Linked DNA regions of Sus scrofa. The protein of the gene in region 1 interacts with the protein of each later gene in a pairwise test. Links are inferred from orthologs where the notes say so. Each region holds a gene or a part of one and is shown in the gene's direction. Other genes may lie near its edges.

Region 1 (3,500 bases):
ATAAAAATTAAAATCATGGAATTGATTAAGTCACTCAGGGAAAGTATATAGAAAGTAAAAAGACGTAAGGAGACTTTTACGGAGTAGGAGAAGAAGGACATGAATCACCAAAGGAAGAGCCTGAGGTAGGGCTGTCAGATACAGGGCATCTAGAAAAGTAGTGTAATAGAAAAGACAGGGTTTCAGGGATGGGATGTAATGAACACTATCAGCTTTCTGTAAGGTTCAAATAAGGTAGTGACTATAAAGGATTCATTGGAAATAGCCGTCTTGGTTACCAGTGACTGTAGGGAAGCCAGTTTGTGTGGAGCAGGTAGGGGCAAAACCCTAATTACAGGGTTGGAGTACTGAATGTGGGAGGCCAGGAAGCTATTGTAGCTAGGATTAGCTTTGTGTGAAGGTTAAGGAAAGATTGAGGGAGGAGAGTAGGTAAAGAAGATAATGGGTGATGGAGGAGTTTTTATTTGTCTTATTTTCTGTTTGTACATGGTCAGTATTTTAAAGCTGTATGAGGCTTGAATTAGGAAGTAGCTGAATTAAGAAGGAGCTTGTAGAGAAGGAAAGAGTATAGTTACCCAAGAAAGAATTATTAATGGAGCAAGGTCCTTTATTTAAGAGGTAGACTCCAGAACTCAAAGGAATGAAAAAGTAATTAATGATCCAGCTGGCATTTTGTTTTTCAGTTCTACAAATCAGTTGAAATGGATATAGATCTTTAGGATATTTTCCTATGAAGATAAAGTTACCTACTCTTACTTATTGAGGATATTTATTTATCAATTAATTCCTGGCAATAATTTCTTTTGTAATGTCCTTCAATTTAAAAAGAGTTGTAGCAGTATTAAAGAAATTAACAAGGGGGTGAGAAAAATCATCTGTACATTTCACCATATTAACAGAACAACTATTTTTGCTTTTCCATTTTATCTGTTAATGACTTTCTTAACACTGTACTGTGTATCTATTATAGGAAATTAATAAATATTTCTAAAAGCAAGCTGTAATACTATGGATTACTCTGTTTGGATTATTACTTATGTGGTACTAATTTTTTTCTTTTTTCACTCAATAAGGATCAAGACTCTTTAAAGAAAAGCCAAGGAGTTGGACCAATTAGAAAAGTTCTTCTTCTTAAGGAAGATCATGAAGGCCTTGGCATTTCAATTACAGTAAGAAGTAGTGCTTCCAGTCTCCTTTTCTGTAGTTATCTATTATAATCATGCCCCTTTTTTGGACATCATCGGGAAGTAAAGTATTCTGAATGTACTTTCTTTTTTGTTTGTTTGTTTGTTTTGTTTTTTGTCTTTTTGCCTTTTCTAGGGCCGCTTCCGCCTCATGTGGAGGTTCCCAGGCTAGGGGTCTAATTGGAGCTGTAGCTCCCGGCCTACACCAGAGCCACAGCAACAAGGGATCTGAGCCATGTCTGCCACCTACACCACAGCTCATGGCAATGCCGGATCCTTAACCCACTGAGCAAGGCCAGGAACTGAACCCGAAACCTCATGGTTCCTAGTCGGATTTGTTAACCACTGCGCCACAACGGGAACTCCTGAATGTATTTTCTAAATAACTGAATTTATCCCTGTGGGTACCAACACTTTCGTGTAAACCTTTTTTGAGGGGTACGTAAATATTCCTAATAACCGTGAAGTAGTAAAAGTATTACTTTAGAAATCATTGTTTATCTTTTTCATTATGACTCAAGTCATTTAGTTCTGTGCTGCCTGTAGGAGGAGCTTTTGGGAATTGATATGACTGTTTTCTTCTGTGCTAAATGGCTCCAGCCAGTACTGTTCCTTTCTCTAGAGTATTTCTTACTATCTCTTGTTTCATTTCTATCAGATTTCAGTGGCTCTTGGGTCCAGACATTCTTCTTTTTTAAAGTTGATGCCTTTACAAACTGTTGTCTTGGACAACATAAAATACATATGTTTAGAGTCATTTTGCCATTCAGTGCTTTGTTCCAGATGAATGAATAAGATGGCTTTGTATTTAGGTACTGCATAAGTTCATTGGCTTTCTGGCATTGCTTAATGTAGAAATGTTTCTTACAATAAAGAAATAATGGGTATTTATTGAATACTTCCCTTTTTGAATACATTTCCCTCAAAGAGCATTAAGTTTTAGTAGGAAAAATTAAGATATATACACACACAATTATGATTGCAAGCTAGAAAGTAAAATGTATCAAGTACTCATTTCAATGATTTTGCTTGCACATTTTTTCACATTTTAACACCTGTGAAATTGAGGTTCATATTGTAATTACTTTTGTGGTACATAAAGTAATTGTCTTACTATTCATAGTGACTTAGAGCTGATAAATTCTAATAGTGCTGTGGACTACTAGTACTTAAGATATTTTTATTTATGTTTAAGAGAGCTCAGCCAATTGGGTTGTAGGTTTGTTTTGGTTTTTTGTTTTTCAGTTTTGTTTTGTTTTTTTCTTTTGGCTCTGGAATGCATTTTAAGAAGCACATGTATGATATTAATCACTTTACTTAGAGGTAACTCTTTGATATTCATAACAATTTGATTTATCATTACTTAAGTAGCAAGTAGTGTTTCAGCATTTATAGAGACGGTATAGGTGCTTATTGGAATAGGTCTATAGGAAAATATTTATCAGAATAGTCTGACTACACAAAGGTGAACTAATTTACTGCCTTTTTTTTTTTTTTTTTTTCCCCCCTGGTTAGGGCGGAAAGGAACATGGCGTTCCAATCCTCATTTCTGAGATCCACCCAGGGCAACCTGCTGACAGATGTGGAGGGCTGCATGTTGGAGATGCAATTCTGGCTGTTAATGGAGTTAATCTAAGGGACACAAAGCATAAAGAAGCTGTAACCATTCTTTCCCAGCAAGTAAGTTCTCTTTATGTAACTAAAATTGGATCTATCAGTTGTTACCTTTTTGAATCTATTGAATGCCTTATACTTTCCTAGGAGGTTTCTCAGGTAGTAAAGTGTTTATATATAGATACTAGTTTCCTTTGACTTGAGCTTTTATAAAAGATATTCAACCAGATTTACTGGAAAAAATTTTTATTTGCTTTTCTTTACAGTTGTATACCTTTGAGTATGTTACTTAAGTTCTTTGTGCTGCAGTGTCTTTATCTGAGAGCTGTAAGGATTAATAAGTATGTTAATGTATATAAAGTGTTCAAAACTTAGAAACAGAACATCACTAATGACTAAAACACTGTACAAATATGAAGTGCTACAGAACAAACAGTACTAGAAGTGGATCAACTTTAAAGTCATAAATGTTAGAACTGAAGGGTCCTTAGAAATCATTTAGCCCAACTTTATTATTTAAAATAAGTGGACTAAGCTTCTTAGAAATTAAATGATTTACTCAGCGTTGCAGAACAAATACATTATAGAGTTCAGATTCATATCCAGGGATCATATTTCGTATCCAGAGTACTTAAGATGCTTTTTTTTTGGTTTTTTCCTTCAAGAATAGGGTTGACAGAATTAGAGAGGTGTTCATTAGTA
Region 2 (4,199 bases), on another chromosome or scaffold:
GGGTTGAGAGTTGAGGCCTGGGAAGTGTGGCATGAGCACACAACTGAGCATTTCCCAAGGTGTGTTCCAAGTCCTTGAATGCTAGAATTCAAGGAGGAGGCTTTGCGATAACTAACCACTTCACCTCTGTGTGTCTCAATTCGCTTACCTACAATCTTAGGGAGATATAAGAGATGGTCCAGCTGACCTCGGCAGTGCCTCTCAGAATAGCATTTTCTGATCCTGCGAAGAGATGAAAGGAATCGATTGAACTCAAGTCAGCACTTGAAGGGAAGGGGGGGCGTGGTGTCAACGTGTGGGGTATCCTCTTTCCCCCACCCCTCTCCCCCAGGGCCTAAAGTTAGAAGGAGCATTGTTGGCCAGTGAATGGGACCTGGCCAGACGGGTGTTATAAAGCTTCTCCCAGGCAGGAGGATAGGAGATGTCGCTTGGATCATAAGCCACATCTTAGAGCTCTAGAGTGTATCACTCCTCAGGGACCACAACCTAATACCTTCGAGGGACACGGGGACCATAAAGGGGCCTCAGAGAATGTCGCCTGTAGGGGGAGCACAGGTACACCTGCCGCCTCCACAGTCTCGGAGTCTCCCTTTTCTGACGGATCAGGGGGAGGGGGGGAATGCATCTGTGGTTCAAGATGCTGTAACTCCCTTAGTCACCAGATTCATAGTAAATGATTCAAGCTCTGCTGCGAACAGCATAGGCTGGTGGTGGTGGGAGGGGGGAACCAAACAATAAACCAGAAGTCCCCACTTTCCAGCTCATGGACCACCACCCCTGCCCCATCACTCCGCGCGCCTTAAAAAAAAAAAAAAAAAAAAAAAAATTTTTTTTTTTTTAACTCTCTTGGCCTTTCTTCCTTCCCGATTTCTAGTTCTGTTGTGCACTTAGAGGCCGATAGGCTGGATCCTGCCTTCCGGGTGGAATTTAAATGTATATGTATAATTTTGCAGGACTGTTGCGTCATCGTAGCAGTCTTCGTGGTTCCCCAGGAGGCCTCCACGTCTTCTCCCAGCATCGGGGGCTTTGGACGCTTCTGAGAGCTGCCGGCACTTTCGCGAGGAGCCCTCGGCTCCTCCCGAGTGCTGGTCTCCAGCCCCCTCCCCCAGCCTCACCTTCCTCCCGCTCGCTCTTCCTCGGCTCCTCCTCCTCGCCCCCTCCCTGCAGCCCTCGCGGGGAGTCAAGCTAGGGTGAGCCCGCAGGGCCGAGCAGCGGCTGCAGGCTGGGCGTGGGGCGCCGGAGCCCGCGGGCGGGCGGGCGGGGGCGCCGGGCGGGTGGCCCGCGATCGGGGGAGGCGCCTGGGCCCGCCCTCCTCTCGGGCCGAGCCTGGAGGGGGCCTGGGCCGGCGCGGGGCGGGGAGAGCCTCCTGGCCCCTCCCCTCCGCTGCCCTCCCCAAAGTTGCCGTCTCCCCGGGGGCCGGCCAGTCTTATGATCCAGCGGATCCTCCTGGGGAGGCCGGGCCGGGGAGAGGGCGCGGGCGCCGAACAGCGGGGGCAGCGGGCAGGCGCAGCGACCGGGGCCCGGGCGGGGATCCGGGCAGCGACCGAGGCGGCGGCAGCGCCCCGGGCCCGCCGCCCCTTCCCCTCGGGCAGGGGGAGCCGCTGCATGGGGCCGGGGGGGCGGCCCTGCTGCGCGGAGCGGCGGCGGCGGCGGCGGCGGACCCCCCAGGCGGGCTGGGGCTGAGCCCGGGGCCGGGGCGGGGGCTCCGGGGGGACCATGCCCGGAGGCCGGCCGGCCGCAGCATGGCTCACGGGCCCGGCGCGCTGATGCTCAAGTGCGTGGTGGTCGGCGACGGGGCGGTGGGCAAGACTTGCCTACTCATGAGCTATGCCAACGACGCCTTCCCGGAGGAGTACGTGCCCACCGTCTTCGACCACTACGCAGGTAAGCCTCGGAAGTGCTGACTAAGGGGCCGCTCCCCGGGCCGGGAACTTTGGAGCAACTTTGGCTGAGCCCCCTAGCCGCCTCCCCTGCGCGCGCTCCCCGCCCCTCCCCCGCCGCGCCCTCCGCGGGGCGCCGGGCCCCACCCCCAGGCTTTCCCTCTGGCAGCCCCCCGCCTGCCCGATCCACCCCTCTTCTCACCCCCGACCTCTGTGCGGCGTCCCTACGCCCAGTACTTCCTAACCCCCTCTGTGCCCCGGGCCGACCTCGTTGACCTTCCTAGGGCCGCCTTCCTTACTTCCCAAAGCCCTGGGGGAGGAGGGTGAGGGAAACGTGGCTATGGGACTTGGGAAAAGAGATTGGGCAGCTGGGGCGCCACATCGCACCCCGGCCTCAGGCCACTTCCCGGTGAGCCGGGCACAGGGGAAAAGGGGTGGCATCCCCGGAGGCGCGCCCGCGTGCCTCCAGCTGGGTTGGGAGAGGAGGGTCCGGGTGGGGAACGAAACCGCCCCGAGCCTAGATAATTGTGAGCTTCTCTCCCCGCCCCCACTTCTGCCCTTGCAGTCAGCGTCACCGTAGGGGGCAAGCAGTACCTCCTGGGACTCTATGACACAGCCGGACAGGTGAGTGTCTGGGCTTCTGGCCGACACCCCCCTCCTTTTCCCCAATTCAAGACGGTTGCGAAGGGCCTTGGAAACTGTCTAGGAGCGAGGGTGTGTCTGCGAGGTTCCCTCTGGATCAAGTATCTCATTTTTTAAGTCAGCGAATTAGGAAAAGGAAAAAAAACAAAAAACAAAAAACCTTGGCAACATCGGGACCAGCCCACCCCACGTGAACCCCTGGGCTGAAAGTTTTTGCCTGTGTGTGCCTTCTGTCTGGTGCCTGGCGTGTGGGTCCCAACTCCTGTTGCAAAGTGGCAGTGGCCAATCCTGAAGCGCCCTTATTTTTAGTTGCCGATGACCAGGTCTCCCCTCACAGCCTTTGTCTGGTCCCTCATTGGTGAGTGGTCTGCCCGCCAGAGGAGCCTGATTGGTGGGAAATGGCATCATCTAATATGATGGGAAGGCATTTGGTCCTGGTTATGTTTATTACAACATCATTGCACTCTGGGACTCGAGTCCCTGAAAACGTAATTTGTGGTGTTACCAGAGGACCGCAGGGGAAAAAAAAAGAAAAGAAACAACCATCCAGCCACTCCCTGGGGCAGGGAGAGAAGGAAGGGTCAGGAGTTCAGTGTGAATCTTGGAGGAAGAGTTTTTTTTGTTGTTCCCTGGCAAGGCCAGGTGACTTTGTCTGGGTTTTCCTTGGGAGAGATTATTGTGCAGAAAGAAAATGCACCCTCCACACGTCAGCCTCGGACCATTATTTGCAAATTAGAGGTGGCTTCTAAAGGATTAAGATCTCCTCTCTGTCTCTGTCCCAGCGCCACCCTCCTCCTAGACCCATTTTTGCTGTGGGCCTAAGATGATGTGTGTGATGAAGTTTTGCAAAATCCAGCCCTGTGATTAGACCTGAAAATGCAGGCAGAAGTTTCCACGTGTCGTCCAGACTTGAGATCTTGAGGACATATGAGCTGCTGAGGGCCTTAGAGAGTGTCTTTAGGGGATGTCCATAGTAGAGTTTCCTTATCTGTAAGATGAAGTTTTAAAAATTCACACCATTCCCCTGGGCATATATGTTAGATGCTTAGCACTGAGTGTGGCACACACCAGGTAGGTCAATAAAGAGGAGCTCTCCTTTGTAGCTCTTCTAGATTTGGGTGTCAAAACTGTAGTTCCAGGTTAGTCTGACAAATGTCTTATTGTGGGGGGGGCATCTTGATGCATCCCTCATTTCTATACTATGAAGTGATAGGAGCATCTGAGAACTGAGAAACCATTGGCAATATGAGATGCCTGAGGCCACCCCCTTTTGCCAAACTGACCCAGGTCGGTACAACCACTTCTTAGCTTTCCAAGGGTTGTTTTTCATTGCCTGCCTTGTACTTACTCTCATTACCAGCTAGGAAGAAGGGCAAGAGGCAGAACCCATTCAATCAAATAAGACCAACTTTTAAGCAGTGTAGTTGATAAACAACAGGTTTATCAAATAAGACCAACTTTGAAGCCGTATGGTTGCTAAACAACAGGTTGAAATTATTGGCTGAAAGAAGAGCTTTTTGAGACTCATGTTGACTTTTAACTTCTCTCACTATGGCCTCTTCTTCCCTTTTCTTTGTTGCTTGTCACCGTGACCATTTTTTGACCACGAACTTTATTCAACAGGACGTGTGTATGTCAGAGCTGTTCTGTGCACATTCAAATCTGACTCATATTTAC
Region 3 (4,016 bases), on another chromosome or scaffold:
CTCATTTACAAATTAGAAAACTGAGGCGGAGACACGATGACTCCCACAAGCTCTACAAAGCTAGTACCAGAACCAGGTCTAACACTCAAGTCTCTCAATCTGGGACTCTCCACCGCAAAACAGACTTCTCCGTCTTTACATTAAAATTAAAAAAAAAAATTTTTTTTAAGGAAGTGGCCGGGTTGAACATTTTCTCATATTTCTCCAGAACATCCTCACGATAACGTTTCAAAATGCATTTAAGGTTGGATCTTCTACAGGGAAGGAAGATACGGAAATGGATTTTCAAAGGTGAGTCTGGTTAGTCTAACAGCTGAGCTGGGTGGGAAACCCTGGTCTAAGCTTCCCCTCTTCTCCTGGTCTCTTGCCTCGGTCTGATTGCCTCTCAGTTAAGTAGATATAGAACAATACTTAACACGTTTAAGAGTTGAAAGTAACTATGTTTGTTAGACGCTATCCTAAGTGCTTTTCCTGGCTGAAGCCTTACATTCCTATGAGGCAGATTATCCGCATTTTAGATATAAGAAAACGAAATAGCAGAGAGCATAAATACCTTGCCCAAAATTTTGCTGCTAGAAAGCAAGGGTTAGTGTTCTCAACTCCAGAGCCCGCATTTTTAAGGACTTAGGTTATCCAGCCTGAACAAAATTGCACATTGTGTCCAATTTTGAAAATGAGCAAGTTCTTCGCGATACATTGTCCAAAAACCAAAACTGCATTCGTTTGGGCAATGTACTTGATTCGTTGTTGTTTTTGAGAGCCATATCAAAGGAAAAGAAAATTAATTTTAAAGTCTAAGGAGTTTTTCCAGTGTGTGGTCTTCCGTGCACGGAGTGGTCTTCCAGGAGAAAACATGAGAAAACACCTTGAAGGCCACCAATTCAGTGTGCGAAGATGAGTTGGAGTGGTGCGGAGGAAGGACGAGAAGGACCAGCATCCAACTGTCGATTCTGCTCCGCATTCCCTTCTTGCTACCGGGGGAGGAGGGCAGGTGGGCGTGGCGGAAGGACCGCAGGTCCATTCCCAGAGCGTCATGCAAATGACATGCAAATCAGCGCGTGTGAGCCGGAGTCTGCAGTTTGGGTCGAGACCCGGAGCGCTCCACTCCCAGTCCCTCGCATACACGCGCGTTTGCGCTCCCATTTGCTCGCTCTCTCGCCGGGCCGCCCCCCCCCCGCCCCGCCCCGCCTGGGACTCGCCTCACCGGCTCCCCAAGCCGCAGCCGGTGGCAGATTGAGCGCTGAACCCGCGCTGCGCGCCCGCGGCCAGGGCGCCCCAGCCGAGCACGGTGCCTCGGCTCCCGGGCCGCCTTCGCCGCGCGGGTGAGTGAGCCCGCCCCACGCTTTTGTCTTGTCTCGGCCCTTGGCAGTCACTCTCCGAGGGCGGGGATCCGGGGTCGGGACCCTCCCTCAGGAGTCTGCCCCCGGCCCCACTGTTGGAGAGGGGTTCCTGAGGGCGGAGAGGAGTTGGGGGAGGTGGCACAAGGGGTGACTCCAGCTTGTCGCGGCAACCCAAGTTCTCTTTTGGAAGGTGAGGTGCTTGGGGACAGTGATGCGGTTATCATCCGAAGCGGTATCTTTGATTTGAGGAGTGCAAATCGCCGCCAGCCTTCAAGGAAGAGAGGTGGGCTCTTCTCCTAGCCCTTGTGGGAGGACTTGGTGACTGCAGCTGCGGGGGTAAGGGGCGGGGATGCCACGTGAAAGTCCTCCCAGCCTAAATGCAAGTCTGAGAAGGTACGGGAGTGGAGGCAGACTAAGGGTCTCAGGCAAAACTGGGGCGTTGGGCGTCGCAGTTCTGCTCTCATTCCCTGCTCCTCACTAATGTCCCTCGCCTGTTCTGCCTTCCTGCCTTCAGCCAGAGTTCCATGGTTAAAGGACCTTTGTATGCAGATCACTGCGGTTGGAAAGTTTAGGCTAAACTAATTCCCAGGTGTTAGCTGTCAGTGGTTAAGGCAGAACTCCTCCCTGGAACTTGTGGCTACTCTTCAATACTCAAAGGACTGAATTTTTTAGGAGTGGTATTGCAGATGCAAAGAGGAGCTGATGAGGGGAGGTGTTCTAGCATTTTGTTGTTGAGGGGCACGCCCTCTATATAGTAACAGGAAGGAGAAAGACCCAGTCCTTTGAGGCCTGGAAGGGGTAAAAGTGGTCATTGTAACTGAGGGAAGTTGGTGGGGGTGGGGGCGCACCTGGGCAGTGGGAATAGTGCCAGGTCTCAGACCACTGGTTTTCACCATCCCTATTCTCCCCAAGTGCAAAGAGCAGAATATGTGCAATTCCCCCCATCCCTACCCCCAACTCACTCCGTTGCTACATCCCCCTTCCAGCTGGGGCTGCAAGTTCTTTCCTGCCTTAGTGCAATCTTTTGTCAAAGTGCACACCTTTTCAGTAAGTTATTTGCAAGTGGGGGCTTGAGAGGATCATTCAGGGAACTCCTCACATTTCAAAGCCCCAGAGATCCATACAAATCTCTGGAGGAACTGTAAGTGCTTCTGGTAACCTTATTGGGTCCCCAAAAACTATTCTAGGTTCCAGTAAATAGTTGTTGGTTTTTTTTTTCCCCCATTTCATTTCCCTCTTCCCCTCCATCTCTTTACTTTTAAATTCATGCTCCCCTTGATCCCCTTCTTTCTTTGGTGATCCTCTGTCTTAGTCTCTTTCCCTGCCCTGCACCCTAGAGAAAGTGACTTTGCTGGTACCATAATGCCCTCGGCTTGAAGGCTCATGGTGTCCTGAGTGAGGCTGGCCTTTTGTCTTCCATTCTAAGTGGGCCAAGAGCCTTTAGCCAGAGCAGCCTAGAGGCTTGGTCCTAGTTGGGGAGTGGCTGGATGCTCACTACTGGATTGGGTAGAGGGTACCCTGGGGACTTGCACAAGAGCCTTTTCCCCAGGATGTGCATGTCTGTCCCCTCACCCACAGATGATACGAAAAGATGCTGGTTCTGATACACCAGTAGGCATGGACTTGGAAAACTGCTCTACAGTGGGAAAGGATTTGTGTGTTTGGTTTCTTCACTTGATCTTAGCCAAAAGGCTGAGAAGCAGTGTGTTTGATTGCTTTTGTGCAGTAATTAGCTAGCTGGGGAAGAGGTTGCTGGGGCCTTGGAGTGGTTTTCTTTATATAAGGTTTGCTGGCCCTCTCATCAATGAGACTATTTCCTCAGGGGATAGATCTTGGGGGACATGTACAGAGCAGACTAGGTTCTGGGGAAGGTCCTGATCTAACTGGTAAGCTTAAGTGGACCCACCTGCTGCCTGGACCTTACGCAGACAGGTGCTGTCACTCTAGGGCAGGGGCTTCTGGATGGCAGCTGCAAAGGAGTCTGCTGGGAAGGCTGGTCAGAAAAGGAGGTTGGTCCCAGGTGGTGCTGGGGGGAGAGAGGCCCTTGCAGTGACAGAGGTAGGGGTGGCGTTTTGGTCCTAGCTGGGGAGGTCCTTCCCCAGTCTTTGAGGAATGGATTGTGATTGCTCTGAGGTCACTGTGTTCTCAGTATTTACAAGAATGACCCCTTGCTGGCCCCCCAAATACAAATCTGAGTCTGCGAAATAGAACTAGTTGGTTTCTTGGCTCTTTGCCTTTTAAGAGATTCAAGAAGTGGCAATTTGAGAATGCAGCCCAGCCTGGGGGTAGGGGTGCAGCAACCCCATGAACATGTGGGGTCTTATGTAGCGTCTTTCTGAGAACAACACTTTCTTGATATTCTGGAAATATACACCAAGGCCACTTGGAACCCTAACTGCCCTACCCCCATGTCAACCAACAAACTCTGATTGGGGAACTGTTCATTCTTAAAACTTCCTGTCCTGTTCATTCTGTGAATGTAGTGAAATTTAGAGACCAACCCTTAGAAAGTAACCTTGCCCAACAGAAGACATTGTCCTCTCCCAGCTTGACTATTGTGTCGTTTTCCTCTGACCGCCAGAGAGTGCAGCCAGAGGGCAGGAGGAAGGATGTTTGTATGGAAAATATACAAGTGGACACTTGGGTGGCATGTGGGCTTGGAATCCAGAGTGAAGG
Region 4 (3,346 bases), about 220 Mb from region 1:
CAGGCCAGCTCTCCTTCTACCCTCCTCACCCCAACTATACCTGGCCCTTCGACGACATCATCGTCTTTGCCTACGCCTGTCAGGCTGCCGGTGAGGACAGCTCGAGCCTTGCTTCCAGGCCTCTGGGCTCTTGCATGTGCTGTTCCTGCTGCTTTGCATGCCCTTCCCCACTCCGCAGCTCATCTTGTAACTTCTGTTTGTCCTTCAGGTCTGTAGCCTCCCTTCCTTCCTTTTGAAAATTTTTCTCTTTTTTCACTTTTTAATTTTTATTTATTTATTTATTTTTGGTCTTTTTGCCATTTCTAGGGCCTCTCCCGTGGCATATGGAGGTTCCAGGCTAAGGATCAAATCGGAGCTGTAGCTGCCAGCCTACTCCAGAGTCACAGCAATGCGGGATCTGAGCCGCGTCTGCAACCTATACCACAGCTCACAGCAATGCTGGATCCTTAACCCACTGAACAAGGGCAGGGATCGAACCCGCAACCTCACGGTTCCTAGTTGGATTCGTTAACCACTGCGCCACGACGGGAACTCCATTTTTCACTTTTTTAAAGTTTTCTTGAAGCATAGGATGTTAACTTCAGGACTGAGATCGAAAGCATGTGCAGACAGGCGTTCCTGCTGTGGTGCAATGGCGTTGGTGGCATCTATGCAGCGCCAAGGATGCTGGTTCAATCCCTGGCCTGGTTCAGTGGGTTAAAGGATCAGGCATTGCCAGAGCTGCAGCATAGGTGGCAGCTGCAGCTGGGATCTGATAAATAAAAACTAAAAAATAAGGTATGGGCGGGCATTAGAAGGCAAAGAGAGCAGGACAGAGCGTTTCAAACAACAGCAGGTGCAAAGGTCCTGTGGTGGCAGGGCACACAAAAGGCAGGTGTGGCTGGAGCATAGTAAGCGAGAAGGGCCTGGTGCAGGCTGAGGCAGGAAAGGTAGGCAGGGGCCAGCTTATGTGGACCTGACCAGCTGGTACTCTAGACGCCTGTCGAATGAATAAACATCTCAGCAGAATGGTCCTTAGATATTATTTGATCCAAGCCCTTTCTCCCTCCAGCCCCACAGGTGAGGATGTGAGTTCCAGAGAGGACTCACGTGTTGGGTCCTGGGCAGGACTGGGCCTGAGACCTCTCAGCTGGGTCCTGAGAGCCCCACTCGGCCTCTCTCCACAGGGGTCTCAGTGCACGTGTGCAACGAGCACCGTTACGGGTACATGAACGTGCCTGTGAAATCCCACCAGGGGCTGGAGGATGAGAGAGTCAACTTCATCCATCTGCTCTTGGAAGCGCTGGGTAAGGGCTGCCTGCTGCTGCTGCCCCCTGCCCTCCCCTACCTGCCCCTTGTTCTAGGCCCGGCCCTGGCTGGGCAGGGGGCTGGGGGCTCAGCCTCCCCCCAACTCATTTCCTGACTCTAGGCGAGTCCTTTTTTCCCGCTGGGCCTCCGCCTGCCCATCCATATCATGGAGGCAGGTGGATTCTGTGATCTGCTGGGCATTCTGCCGAGGGGGCAGGAATGAGGCTGGGGTTGGAGGGGGTGCCTAGAACTCCAGGGTGCAGACTCAGGAGTGGGGAATGCTTTCTCTGCAGTGGATGGGCCCCCCATGTGGGCCTCGGCTCACGTGTCCCGGCCCCCGAAGAGGCCCAGCAAGATGGGGTTTGATGAGGTACGTCGGGATTGGGGCCAGGAGGTGGGGGGGGCTCCCGCCTCTCCCCTCCCCCCTCGCACCCACGACCCTGCCTCCTCCAGGTGTTTGTCATCAGCCTGGCCCGCCGGCCCGACCGCCGAGAGCGCATGCTGAGCTCACTCTGGGAGATGGAGATTGCCGGGCGGGTGGTGGACGCCGTGGACGGCCGGTGGGTGAGGCTTCCTGCGTGGGGACAGGGCCCTGGGCAGCTGGGGGGCCAGCGTGGTCCCTCAGAGCTCCCTGGGGGCGGGAAAAGCGGACGATGCGTTGAGTGAGTTTCCTGTTCCAGGAGGTATTCAAACAGGGCCTGGGTACCTCTGTCTCAGGGTCCAGGGGAGACCAGATGGGACAGGATGCCCTCCCTCAGCCCACCCGAGGGAGAGGGGACAGTGCTTCAGGCCCAGGGTCTGGAGCTCCTGGGCTGGGGTTCCAGCTCTGCTGCTTACCAGCTGCGCCGCCTCCAGCATGTCGTCCTGTCCCTCCACCTGCTGCATGAGGGCGAGAAGCTGTGCTTTTCTCTTAAGGGTTTGTAAGGGTCCAGCGAAGGCCTGACACGTAGGAAGTATTCCAGAGGTTAATAATACCTTCATCATTATCGTCAGGGTTATTCTTTTCCATTCTGAACTTAGATCCCTGATGGGTGGGGGTGGGAGCAGGCCAGAGGTCACCCAGCCCCATAGGGACACTGCTATTTGCTGCATATATCCCACTCTCTATATTATTGTTATTACTTTTTAATGTTTTCGGCCATGCCCATGGCATGCAGTTCCTGGGCCAGGGAGTTCCCATTGTGGCTTGGTGGTAAAGAACCCGCCTAGTAACCATGAGGACGCAGGTTTGATCCCTGGCCTTGCTTAATGGGTTAAGGATCCGGCGTTGCCGTGCACTGTGGTGTGGGTTGCAGACATGGCTTGGATCCTGCGTTGCTGTGCCTGTGGCGTAGGCCGGCAGCTGGCAGCTTTGATTCGACCCCTAGCCTGGGAACTTCCATATGCTGCAGGTGTGGTCCTAAAAAGAGAAAAAAAAAAAAAAGAAGTTCCTGGGCCAGAGATGGAACCCAACCACATGTAGTGACCCAAACCACAGCAGTGACAATGCCTGATCCTTAACCACTAGGCCACCAGGGAACTCCTGTCCCAGCCCTTTTAACTGCAAGATGGCCATCATTTGCTTAGGCCTCTGCCTAAGTATCTGCCACGTGCCCGCATCTTTCTGGGGTGTCTCCCACTCAGACTGCCACCCCCTCCCCTGGGGGTCTCTCTCTCTCGAGGCAGCTACGACACCCAAGGTCCAGTCACTGATGGCTCCGGGCCACATGAAGCAGGAACAAAGGCTGAAGCCTCCTGCAAACCAAACTCCAGTGTGACTGGCCCCACCTTGCAGGGGCCAGGTGCCCCTGGATGGATCCTGGGGGCTGGGGGGGCACCACTAACCCCATGACACCAACTCCCTCAGGATGCTCAACAGCAGTGTCATGAGGAGGCTTGGCGTGGACCTGCTCCCCGGCTACCAGGACCCCTACTCGGGCCGCACGCTGACCAAGGGCGAGGTGGGCTGCTTCCTCAGCCACTACTCCATCTGGGAGGAGGTGAGACACCCCCCCACACACTGCCCTGTCCACTGCTCGTGCCAGTACTTGTGTGACCAGTGGGTGACTAAACAGACTGA
Region 5 (4,188 bases), on another chromosome or scaffold:
TTGCTTCTCAAATATGATTAATGAATTGTTGCAAAAGGATTATGAAATAAGAATGGAACTTTCTACTCATTTCCTATAGTGAGTAGAAAAAATAACTATAAGCAGATAACTAGCTGCATGCCAAACCAATCCCTTCTACTGATATTAAAGAATTATAGAGGCAACTTGGAAAAATTGAAATTGAAATTTTAGCTTCCTTTCTTTTTTTTTTTTTTGTCTTTTGTCTCTTTAGGGCTGCACCTACGGCATATGGAGGTTCCCAGACTAGGGGTGTAATCAGAGCTACAGCTGCCAGGCTACACCACAGCCACAGCAATGCCAGATCCGAGCCACATCTGCAACCTATGGCACAGGCTCACGGCAACACTGGATCCTTAACCCACTGAGCAAGGCCAGGGATCAGACCTGCAAGCTCATAGTTCCTAGTTGGAATTATTTCTGCTGCACCATGATGGGAGCTCCATGAAATTTCAGGTTTCTAAAGTTTGACTTTAAATTTAAAATAAATGAAGTTCAGAGGATTAACTCTTAAGATGGCCACCTCAATTATGAATTTTTAGGAATGTGTTGGATTATGAAATTGGTGTCTAAAAACAGTATGTTTTTCACAGAACGCCTTCTATGAGATTATTTTAATGCCCATGAAACACACTGTTTTGTGTGGCATCTACTTCTTGACACTGTACTTTTAGTTTACTTTCCATACTTTTAGTTGAATGGAACTAACAAACAGAATTCTAGACTAAATCAGGAAAATCACTGAGAACAGAATTATGCTTTAGATTTTTCTTTAATTGTGTCTTTCAGTAGGGTTTTTTTTTTTTGTTTTTTGTTTTTTTGTCTTTTTGTCTTTTAAGGGCTGCACTCACGGCATATGGAAGTTCCCAGGTGAGGGATCTAATCGGAGCTGTTGCCTGTGCTGGACTATACCAGAGCCACAGCAACACCAGATCTGAGCCGTGTCTGCAGCCTATACCACAGCTCACAGCAACGCTGGAGCCTTAACCCACTGAGCAAAGCCAGGGATCAAACCCACAACCTCATGGTTCCTAGTGTGATTTGTTTCTGCCGCGCCTCAACAGGAACTCCAGCTGATTTTTATGTCACCTCTCATTTGACATTACTCAGTTCTTATCCCACCGTCATATAGTATTTATGCACTATTACATGTTCTTGACATTTATTTCTATATTTTATTGAGTAGACACACTTCGCAAAAAATTGGCCAGTGCTTATAATATAATAAAAAATACACTGATACAATTCAAACAGCCAGGTGTTATGAGACTGCATTAAATAACCTTGTGCAATTACTTAAATCACATCAACATTTAAAATGCTACAATAAATAGTTTAAAGAATTGTGAATGAAGAAGGAAAATGATTACTTGAGCTAGTGATTATTTAAATAAGACAAATATTATTTCTACTGTATTTTTATTTTGAATGTGGAGTCACTAAAAGCCTAACCCTTTGCCTTCTACAGGTACTTGAAGGAGAATACAGACTCATGTATTCCAATAGAGTACTACACGTCCTCTCTCAAATAATGTATTTTTGTGATGCATCCCATCTATCAAATAGATAGGTATAGACACAGAACAAATTTAGGTGCGTTCCTTACTTTAAAATAAATTATCAAAAAAATGCGTAAACTGAACTGTGAGACTGGATATATTTTGCATGTTGTGTTGATTGCTTTCTAAGAAGGTTAATTAAAGGAGTGAGAGAGAATGATACTTTGATATTTTGGGGAATGAAAGAGAAAATAATTATTAATTCAGTGCACCAGAAGTAAATCAGGACTATTCCAGGCAGACTGGATTGTATGAACACCCAGTATATTAAGCTCCCACTTGGTAAGCATTCAGTTAATCAAATAAACATTGACTGAGCACCAGAATTAATTGTTGTTGTAAGCAACTTCTATATACAAGTATTGAGAAAAACTGTAGTTTATCATGAAACAATACAAGCTAACAAGTTGAGTTCCATAGCAAACAATGACATATGCATTTATATTAGCATCCTCGGACTGATAATCTAGTTTTTATTAATTTTTGTTATTTGGTTTTAAAAGTGTTTAGATCGTAGTATAAAGGATAGGATCAGGTGGGGTGAAGTTTAGAGTTTAGAACACCATGCGTGCATCTTTGCAATATCTCACTTAAAAATGTTGATAAACAACCAGTAAGACATGTAGAATGGCTAATGTTTTTCCCATCTTGGGCATGTGGAAACTAAAGATCAAAATGATTGGAAAAATTATAGTTAATTAAAGAAACTCCTGTAACCCTGGTCAGTGTTAGGTACACTACTAAGAACTTGGCTGATACTCAAAATAACTCTTTGGGTAAATGTCATCTTCTTTATTTTATGGATGAGTAATAAGAGGCTTACACAAATTTAGATGTAATAAAGGGAAGATCTAGAGTACAAAACTCTAAGTGCTCTAATTCCATTATTTCACAGATTCTCACTTGCCCCACATGTTTTAAGTCATTGATACAAAGTTGATGTAAACTTGGGCTTTCTGACTGCAAGTTCATGGTATTAACCTTGTTAATTCAGCCCCGAATACCTCAGTCACTGTATCTTACAACTCACAAAATGAGGTTGCCATACCTCATTTTCTGTTAAATATGAAGCAACTATATTAAAATAGATTGTGTAAGATGAACACATATGGCTTAGTCATTTTCCTTATTTATGCATGTTACCAAAAATCTTTTGTTTTTTCTCTTCTTCTTGTTATTGAAGAAGTATTGTTAAAGCCAAGATTCAGATTTTGTGGGGGCTTGAGATGATAAAACTTTGGGTCCCTTCTTTTAAGAATTGCACAAAATCACTACTGCAAATTTAAATACAGGACCTTGGAAAAGGCCCATGTATTGAAGATCCCTGAAGTTTAAGCTTATGTCTGAAGTTTTATATTAATTCAGAAAGCCTAAGACTAATTTTGTGGTAGCTGGTCTATAAGTAGATTTAAGAATGAGACTAACACGTTTATGATACATTTTGACAAACTGGTCAATAAAATCTGCCAGTTTGTGTACCTAATCTAAAACTAAGACATATATTACCATGATAATTAATAATAACTAATGTATATGGATAATGCATTTTGTAGGTTATTTACGAATAGAATATGGATTAGAGAGCAGCTGTTAGATTGATGACATCTCACACTTGCTCTATTGCCCCAAACTTCATCATCTTTGAATAAATTCTCTCCATACTACTCCTATTTTGAAACAGTGTTGTCAATAGTTAGTGAATACTATTCAACAAAAGAAATAAAAGTATTTCTGAGAGAAATAAGAAGTACACGAAAGATATACATTAAATAGTAATAAAATCAATAGTTTCTACCTTGATGAAGTATTATCCTGGGGATGCAGTCACAAATAATGTCAGTTTAGGCTCTATTTGTATCTCTCCCTTTGGTCTTAGTGCAGTGATTAATGAAAAATAATAATGTCTTGATAGATTTCACTAAATATTTGACATTCTTCTCCAAAAATCTTTTGAAAACTGTTAAAAATACTTAGTGCACAAAGATGGATAATAAAACTGCAGGACTGGATAAATTGCTAGTTGATTGTCATCACAATATTTTAGTTTGTCTTAAAACTACATATTAGCATTTAAAGTGTTTAACACATAAAAATAAGTTTAAGAGATTTGGACAATAACATTGAAATTTACCAAAATCGTGTGGTTGTTAAGAGTATTTGCTCTTAGTTTGAATTTGTTTTTTATAAGTTCAAATTTATATATTCTTGTGGGTACCTTACAGTTTAGGAGGATGGACTTTCATTGGTTTGAAAACTATGTATTTTTTCATAAATATATTTGATGTGTATTAGTATAAATAAGTATAGGTAGTAATATTGTATCAGCATGAATCATTTGTAAGCGCACACAAGAAAAATTAAAAGTAGAAGTAAAAAGAAAGACAAATGCCTTTGGGGGTCAGAAATGGAGGCGAAAGATTTAACAGTAAACAGGAGACTTGGGCCATTGTCTGCTAGGCTCTGCATAAGCAAATAATCAGTGGCTGCTGGGGTATATGACTGGTGTGATAATAAGTATATTATAATACCATTTTGCATGGTAGAGGACTGGCACACCGCTAGGGCACACAACTAGGGCTTATGTGAAGTTGCAGAGAGAAGCGGAGAGAGC
Region 6 (3,500 bases), on another chromosome or scaffold:
GGCCAGTGGCGCCTTTCTCACATCTCTCCAACCCCAACTTCCTATCCTACTTTGACCTTCTTACCTCCTCTTATAAAGACCCTTGTGATGACACTGGGCCTACCAGGATAATCAGATTAGAATTTTTTGTTTGTTCACTTATTTTACCTTTTTACTTTTTACCAAAGTGGTGTGGAATTTGGGCTTTTGTGATTGATTGATTGATTGATAGACAGATAGATAAAGAAATAATAATGAAAGCATTCCTGTTGTGGCTTAGCAGAAACAGACCCAACTGGTATCCCTGAGGACACAGGTTCGATCCCTGGCCTCGCTCAGTGGGTTAAGGATCCGGCGTTACCATGAGCTGTGGTGTAGGTCAAAGATGTGGCTCAGATCTGGCATTGCTGTGGCTGTGGTGTAGGCTGGCAGCTGTAGCCCTGATTTGACCCCTAGCCTGGGAACTTCCACATGCCACAGGTGTGGCCCTAAAAAGCAAAAAAAAAAAAGAAGAAGAAGAAGATAAAGAAAAGAAATAATAATGAAGATGATGCCAGCCAACTTTTACCGAGTGTTTACATCCTGAGTACAAGCATTACTTCTTTTAACCATCAAGCAATGTGACGAGGCAAGGAGCTATGACCAATCTCATTTTATAGATGAGGAAACTGAGGCACAGAGAGGTGGTATGGTCACTTGCCCAAGGTCTCACAGCTGGAAATGGAGCAGCCTGATGAGCACCCAGGCAGCCTGACTCCACAGCCCATTCCTACCTTATACTCTGCTGTGCAGGTGCCAGGACAGTGCCTGCAGTGGCCTGACAGGGGGTCAGGGGTGCTGACATGGGATGGTCAGCCTTTGAGCCAACTCCTGCGGGGTTTCTCTCCCGCCCTTCCAGGGAGCTACTCTTTGTCCGTGCGAGACTACGACCCCCAGCACAGGGACACGGTGAAGCATTACAAGATCCGGACCCTGGACAGCGGGGGCTTCTACATCTCCCCACGGAGCACTTTCAACACCCTGCAGGAGCTGGTGGCCCACTACAAGAGTGAGTCCCGCCCAGCCTGCCTCCCAGTGCCTGCCTGGCTCCCGGGAAGCCCGCTCGAGGGAGCACTGCGGCCTGGGAGGCTGCTGAGGTTTTCCTGACCCTCCCTGGATAAATAGTTGCTTTGGATTCTCCTGAAGTCTTAGGTCTGTTGAGCAGGAGGGCAGAGGTGGCATCTCACCTATCCTCTTGGGAATGTCCCCCAGGTGGGCGGAGGGAGAGGGAACTGTTTGGAATATGAGCCCAATGCCAAGGACCAAGCAGGGAGGCTTCCAAGGGGAAGCTCGTGCCTGGCTTGGAGCTGACCACTCTCGACTGACCAGGGGCTCTGTTCCAGAGGGGAGCGACGGGCTTTGCCAGAAGCTGACCGTGCCCTGCGTGTCCTCCAAGCCCCAGAAGCCTTGGGAGAAAGATGCCTGGGAGATCCCCCGGGAGTCCCTCAAGATGGAGAAGAGACTTGGAGCGGGGCAGTTTGGGGAAGTCTGGCTGGGTAAGGACCCAGGCCCAGGGCAGGGAGGGGAGAGGGAGGTCCTTGCTTCCGGGAACAGCCTGAGGCAAAGTGTGACTGCCGTCCTGGGTTGAGGGGAGATTTGAATAGCAGCCATAAAGGAGCAATTCCTCTGATAGCAAACCAAATTGTCCTGCCATGCAAACACTGATTTGCCTTTAAGGCTAGGCCTGTCCTGGGGTCAAAAACTCTCTTCTGGAAAGCAGAGGTCCCAGATGAGGAATCCATCCCCCTCCTAGGGAGCTGGGACAGTTTGGGATTGAGATAACCAGAGCATCTCTTAGGATGATGAAAATTAAGCATGCACAAGTAGGGAGTTCCCATTGTGGTTCAGTGCATTAAGAAGCCCACTAGTGTCTGTGAGGATGAAGGTTTGATCACGGCCTCACTCAGTAGGTTAAGGATCTGGCATTGTCACAAGCTGCAGCATAGGTCAAAGATGCAGCTCGGATCTGGCATTGCTGTGGCTGTGGCACGGGCTGGCAGCTGCAGCTCTGATATGACCCCTAGCCTGGGAATTTCCAATATGCCAATGAATGAGGCCCTTAAAAAAAAAAAAGAATGTGGAAGTATAGCTTGGAGATTTCCAGGTGAGTTTAGTGTTGGCAGCTGATGAATAAGCTGTTTTGAGTCCTGCCATGTGCCCAGCACCATGCTAAGAAATGGCAGAGCACCCAAAAGGCATATTCCACCCCTGCCATCCTGCCTCTAATAACCTGAGAATAGCAAAACCTGCTTTGCAGAACTGTGGGGTAGACGCAATGCCTGGCCAAGTGCCTGGTGCTCCGCATTGTGTTTATACTCCACCACGTTCCTAATGGGAACAAAGACAACTTAGAGAGATGCAAACAGTTCAGCCAGGAAAAAAAATGCATTTAAAAATCTATGTATTTGAACTATATTTATCGAGAGCCTACTATGTTCCAGGCACTAAATAAGAGAATGTGGCAGAGAAAGTATGGTGAGGAAGGTAAGACAGATTGGACTGATGATGCAGGAAAACAAAAAAATACTACATAAGGGCTTAGACTCTTACTACAGGAAGACCTCAAATCTGGGTTAGAGCTTCCTGGCAGCCAAAGCAAAAATGGAAACATAAACAACAATGAGATTTACAAGATCGACAAGATGAAGCAGGGGAAGGGTGGGGGTGAGGTGAGGGAAAAACATGTGCAAAGTCCCTGTGGGGGGAGGGGGAGCTGGATGCTTGAGGGACTGAATGGCATGCAGGCTGACTGGTGCACAAAAGGCAAGGGGGACTTGGTGGATGATGAGGCAAGGTGGGCAAGGCCAGATTACGCAGGGCCTTGTGGACCCTGATAAAGCTGGTATTTAATTGGATGACAGTGTTAATATTAAGTAAAACATTTTAAGCAAAGATGGGGTGTGTGTATAAGTGTTGACAAAACAAAGGTGAGTGTGTGTATGAGCAAGTGACCTAATCCGAGTGATGTTTTAAGGTTCTTCTTTCATCCCTGCAAGAGCCTTTTGAAGGCTGTGCTGATTTCCACTTTACAGATGAGGAAACCACAGCTCAGAGAGGTTAAGTAACTTGCCCAAGGGCACAGAGCTAGGAAGTGGTGGTCCACCCTTCCAGATCACATCTGTCTGAGGCCAAAGCCCGTGCCTCCCCTTCCCTCTCTAAGGACTGAGAAGGGCAGGGAAGGCTTTCTGGAGGAGGCCGGTCTATAGCCGGGTTTTCGGGATAGTGGGAAAAGAGCATGGGTCCTGACCGCCTTCCCTGCGCCCCGTCCCGCTCCAGCCACCTACAACAAGCACACCAAGGTGGCCGTGAAGACCATGAAGCCCGGGAGCATGTCTGTGGAGGCCTTCCTGGCAGAAGCCAACCTGATGAAAACTCTGCAGCACGACAAGCTGGTGAAGCTGCACGCGGTGGTCACCACGGAAGAGCCCATCTACATCATCACGGAGTTCATGGCCAAAGGTGCTGCATGCTGGGGGCTGAGG
Region 7 (4,133 bases), about 110 Mb from region 1:
GTGTACGCAAGTGTGTGTTTTCAGAGACAATCATTTTGGTGCCTTAAAGGAGTAGATGGCAGATTAAATGGGTTTCTTGCCTGGAAGAGCTCTTTCAGTCATTTGACCATGAAGGAAAAGAGAATGGTACCTGCAAGTGAAAATGACTGAACTAAAAGGGAAAGTCATTGGCATAACTGAAACTGACTGAAGAATTGATATTTACAATCTCATGGTGAAAAATCCAGACAAAAGGGAGAGCTCAGTGAAAGCGAAGAGAGTATGGTGATGGAGCACATTTCCTGAAAAGACAGAACGAAAGGAAACCTCAAAGGCTTAGTTTACGTTCTGTGGAAGATGGTCACCCTCTCCATTGCACCAGGAAGTAAGGAGGAAAGGATGCTGTTAAGCAGAAATAGATGATGAGTAGGTTATTCAGCTAAGAACACTCCTCCAAAATAAGAACGGAATAAAAATAAAATAACTTGAAGATATTAACTCCCCAATGTTGCTATTTTCATGCTATTTATAAGGATACAGTGATCTAGTTTCTTTTGCCCTGTCCTCTTTTTCTTGGGTGTTCTATTCTGTTTCAACTGGAGAAGCTCTCTTTTATGTGGTGTGACATCACCATTCATCATTATGCCTCCTGACAGCTGCATCAAGTCACTGCAAAGTCACTCTGGTTCCCCCCCTCCCCCTCCCCCTGCCAGGGACAGGAGCCAGAGACCTCTTTTGGGGGCCCTAGAGAGCTCTCTTGGCAGCCCCAGAGAATGCAGCTCATAATTTTCCCAAAATGACTGGAAACAAAGATTTCAATGTATAGTTTTTGTGTCTTGATTTCTATACTGAAAGTTTATTAAATATTTTTTCTTTTTCTTTTGGGGGCAATCTAATAAAAATCATTTTGGACCAGTGATATTTCCTATTGTTCCTGTAATCTGCAGCATAATTTTTCTTTAAATCTATTGTAGATAGATATGTTATGATTTGATTGGCTTTTTCTTCTCTTTTTTTTTTTTTTTGGCCCATGGCACATACAAGTTCCCAGGCTAGGGATCGAACCTTGCTATGGAAATGACCTGAGCCACTGCAGTGACAAGGCCAGATCCTTAACCTGCTGTGTCACAAGGGGACTCCACATTATTAGTACTTTGGCTTTGCCACTTTATTTTTTCTATTACTATTGCAAGTTATACAAATATTTTTTCTATTACTATATACAAGTTATTAAACAAATACACTGGTGGATGAAAGGGTGGGTGGTTTCTTCCTTTTTCACTCACAGCACAGTTTGAAATAATTTGTGTAGAGACCATTGAATAGCCATATCCATGAGTTAGGGAATAGTAAAATGATTTCATTTTGGATAGTTCACTTGTGATCCACAAAGGGTGTTGTTGTATTGGTTTTGATAAAACTTCACAGCCAATGGGAATCTTTTTCAAGTTAGTGTGGAGTAGCCTTAATGCTGGAAATAATCCTGTTGGCCAGGACCCCAGAGCCATACAGATGAAAAAAGGATGCAGGAAACTCTGTTGTTTACACATGTGTCTGTAACACTGAGCCGCTAGAGCAGCCCAGCAAGCCCAGAGGGTAAGATGCTTAATAACCTTGTGGTTTTCTGTTTAATTTTTATATTTTCCTGGTGGGGCCGAGTGTGCGGTATTCTCAGAGCAAAGAGAAAGACAGTTGCTTATAAGATGCAGAACAAAACTACTGTAGGTCTGAGAAACAGGGATTTAGAGTTTCTTCTTAAAGTGGACTTGATTTCTTCCATCCCTCTTCCATTTTCCACGTTGGTATTATTTATCCTAACAGCTTGTCAGACATTTCCTTTTTTTTTTTTTAATAACTGTATACTAACAAAGGTAAGATTTTCAACTCTAAATTTAGACAGTAATATGATATGTTGGTAATAAAACTTATTTTGTTGCTCCAAACTAATATGATTTAGTCATTGTGTTTGAAGTAATCTATATTCTTAGAGTAAAAATAAAATAGAATTGTTATGCAAATCCTCAAGTTTATTCCTCATTCATTTAGAGTTCTCATTTTGCTAGTCTGCATGCTGAGTTTCTATCACTGTTCACAAAAAACTATACTTCCAACTCAGCCCTAATCTTGATTTCTTGATATAAGTTATCTGGGTGTGGAGAAATACATAGCATAAAATACTAAAAGCTTTCACATAATAAAATGAAATAGGCATTTAACTCTAGAGAAAGTAATTACAGAATTGAAGAAAAAAAATCTCTGGAAACCATTGGCAGTATTGTTTATGTTTTCTGCAAAGATAAATTATGAAATGAATGTTGAGTGGGTAAATCTGTTAAATAGAAATATAAGAGAGATATCCTTCAAAAATACAATTAGAACATGTTACATACGGCATTGAAATATTCAGATATATTTCTTGATATTCTCATTTACGTAAACATTAGTTTTCCTATTTTCTAAAATTATCTGAATACTCTTTTGCTAATATTTTTATGGGATAGGGTATTGCTACAACTTTTAATTTTTTTGCTGTTCATCATTTTATTGTCAAATATCCTAACACAGAAATTAAATGGTCTTTAATTTCTAACTTTTCTCCATATTTTTACTTAATATGGAAGTGAATCTTGAAAAATTAGTGATACAATACCTGTACGAGCTTTGTGTGATTTTGCAACATTGATTTAAAATATCAATGTCTACTTGAATCTTTAGGAGAATGTTTTATATGAATTCCTTTTTTCCCCAAACCTTTAAAAAATATTTTTCTTGTGTGTTAAATATCATTTAGTAGTCTCTCCTTTGCACTCTTCATTTGTTTTGATTGTATTCAGTATTTGCTTGATCTCTGGGACATAACTTCCAGGTACCTCACATGGGTGTGGCCTTGAAATTTGTGAGGGTTCCATCTAATTATTGGAGCCACACATATAATGACAATAATTATTTAAACTAGAAAGTGATCTTAGGCCATTTCCATTTGAAGAAGAAGTATATCTCCCATGCTTATATTACAGGGGCAGTTGAATTCTGTCCTATTGCCAAAACCTTCAAAATTTCCTTTTTAGTAAGATTTTAGAGAAGCCTTGAAAGAAAAGTCTGGCTATGTAAGTTGAGACTTAAAAAATTAGAGGAATTTAGATAGTTGCTGAAAAGCAAAAAGACTCTTCTACTTTGTAGAAGTAGTTGAAGCAAAGGGTTTTGAGGCTAAATTAATCTAAACCAGGAAGAGTAGGGATGAATAATCCACCTTATTGGAGCAGAAAAAAGTACACTTTGTGAGGAGCAGACATTGTGTTCAAATATAGAGCTGGATAGAGTTGTGGCGCATCTTAAAACTCATATAGATTAATTTTGTCTGTATACAATTGGGGCAAATGCAAGTTTCTGAGGAGATGGAGTATTTTTACTCCTCCTCCTCTTTCTTCATCATCTTCTTCTTCATCATTGGCAATACTGCCAGCACGTAGTTGTACTTCTGTGTACAAGATAATTTACATACCATTTTGATAGATGTGTGATCAAATTAACTTCATCTCACATGTTATCTTTATTTTACACATGAAGGGCTCTGATGTTCAAAAATGTCAAATGATTTCTTGAAAGCCACAGATATAGTAAGTGGAGCCAGGATTCCAAACAATGTCTTTCTGGCTTCAGAGCTGTTCCACTATGTTGCACTGGTATTTTAAGAATGTGAATCTGGTAGGAGTTAGCAGGATGGTTTGGAATGGGCATTGGGGTAACAGAGTGCAGGGAGGAGGTTGTGAGAAAGTAGGCAGATTGGTTCCAGCATTTGTAAACCTAAACTGATCACAGTTCCCTCAGATGGTCCATTCTTGCCTTTGGTAATAGAAAGAAGGAATAGATACTGAAAATAAGCAGTGTTTACATTTAATTGGCTGTTCTCATATTCAATTCTTATGCTTTCCTCTTTTTTTCATTTTCTTGAATGTTTTATTCACATTCAAAAATATATATTTTGATTTCTGAAAGGAAGTTGCATCTCTGATTTTCATCTAATATTACTTATTCACAAATAAAATATGTGAAGTGACTGGAAGTGATATTGGGAACATACTGGATCCCTTTGTTTCTCTTTGATGGTGTGATATGAATGGATGCCTAGTGACCACACCTTAAAATTATGGAGA

Evidence for each region.
Region 2: the proteins of GOPC (region 1) and RHOQ interact in a two-hybrid assay, tested with the Homo sapiens proteins (2 studies listed by BioGRID). The link is inferred for Sus scrofa from reciprocal best matches to the Homo sapiens genes GOPC and RHOQ.
Region 3: the proteins of GOPC (region 1) and MYLK interact in binary tests that used the Homo sapiens proteins (3 or more experiments, as listed by UniProt). The two-hybrid records come from large-scale screens. The link is inferred for Sus scrofa from reciprocal best matches to the Homo sapiens genes GOPC and MYLK.
Region 4: the proteins of GOPC (region 1) and CERCAM interact in a two-hybrid assay, tested with the Homo sapiens proteins (2 studies listed by BioGRID and IntAct). The two-hybrid records come from large-scale screens. The link is inferred for Sus scrofa from reciprocal best matches to the Homo sapiens genes GOPC and CERCAM.
Region 5: the proteins of GOPC (region 1) and DPYD interact in a two-hybrid assay, tested with the Homo sapiens proteins (2 studies listed by BioGRID and IntAct). The link is inferred for Sus scrofa from reciprocal best matches to the Homo sapiens genes GOPC and DPYD.
Region 6: the proteins of GOPC (region 1) and HCK interact in binary tests that used the Homo sapiens proteins (3 or more experiments, as listed by UniProt). The two-hybrid records come from large-scale screens. The link is inferred for Sus scrofa from reciprocal best matches to the Homo sapiens genes GOPC and HCK.
Region 7: the proteins of GOPC (region 1) and CCDC102B interact in binary tests that used the Homo sapiens proteins (3 or more experiments, as listed by UniProt). The two-hybrid records come from large-scale screens. The link is inferred for Sus scrofa from reciprocal best matches to the Homo sapiens genes GOPC and CCDC102B.

Annotation. Positions count from the first base shown.
Region 1 is NC_010443.5:44,273,864-44,277,363, forward strand, and holds part of GOPC (Golgi-associated PDZ and coiled-coil motif-containing protein), read left to right. Parts: intron 1-1,073; coding exon 1,074-1,169; intron 1,170-2,699; coding exon 2,700-2,864; intron 2,865-3,500.
Region 2 is NC_010445.4:94,009,861-94,014,059, reverse strand, and holds the start of RHOQ (rho-related GTP-binding protein RhoQ), read left to right. Parts: upstream 1-1,399; 5' UTR 1,400-1,742; coding exon 1,743-1,884; intron 1,885-2,445; coding exon 2,446-2,504; intron 2,505-4,199. UniProt on the Homo sapiens protein: Plasma membrane-associated small GTPase which cycles between an active GTP-bound and an inactive GDP-bound state. In active state binds to a variety of effector proteins to regulate cellular responses. Involved in epithelial cell polarization processes.
Region 3 is NC_010455.5:136,508,662-136,512,677, forward strand, and holds the start of MYLK (myosin light chain kinase, smooth muscle), read left to right. Parts: upstream 1-1,216; 5' UTR 1,217-1,322; intron 1,323-1,524; exon of another isoform or gene 1,525-1,530; 5' UTR 1,531-1,623; intron 1,624-4,016. UniProt on the Homo sapiens protein: Calcium/calmodulin-dependent myosin light chain kinase implicated in smooth muscle contraction via phosphorylation of myosin light chains (MLC). Also regulates actin-myosin interaction through a non-kinase activity.
Region 4 is NC_010443.5:268,841,044-268,844,389, forward strand, and holds part of CERCAM (probable inactive glycosyltransferase 25 family member 3), read left to right. Parts: coding exon 1-90; intron 91-1,166; coding exon 1,167-1,286; intron 1,287-1,580; coding exon 1,581-1,657; intron 1,658-1,740; coding exon 1,741-1,847; intron 1,848-3,133; coding exon 3,134-3,266; intron 3,267-3,346. UniProt on the Homo sapiens protein: Probable cell adhesion protein involved in leukocyte transmigration across the blood-brain barrier. Does not express any beta-galactosyltransferase activity in vitro.
Region 5 is NC_010446.5:120,151,335-120,155,522, forward strand, and holds the start of DPYD (dihydropyrimidine dehydrogenase [NADP(+)]), read left to right. Parts: upstream 1-1,388; 5' UTR 1,389-1,611; intron 1,612-4,188.
Region 6 is NC_010459.5:35,736,073-35,739,572, forward strand, and holds part of HCK (tyrosine-protein kinase HCK), read left to right. Parts: intron 1-877; coding exon 878-1,027; intron 1,028-1,361; coding exon 1,362-1,514; intron 1,515-3,294; coding exon 3,295-3,477; intron 3,478-3,500. UniProt on the Homo sapiens protein: Non-receptor tyrosine-protein kinase found in hematopoietic cells that transmits signals from cell surface receptors and plays an important role in the regulation of innate immune responses, including neutrophil, monocyte, macrophage and mast cell functions, phagocytosis, cell survival and proliferation, cell adhesion and migration.
Region 7 is NC_010443.5:153,930,297-153,934,429, reverse strand, and holds the start of CCDC102B (coiled-coil domain-containing protein 102B), read left to right. Parts: upstream 1-1,333; 5' UTR 1,334-1,575; intron 1,576-4,133. UniProt on the Homo sapiens protein: During interphase, forms fibers at the proximal ends of centrioles to maintain centrosome cohesion. During mitosis, dissociates from the centrosome following phosphorylation to allow centrosome separation. Contributes to CROCC/rootletin filament formation.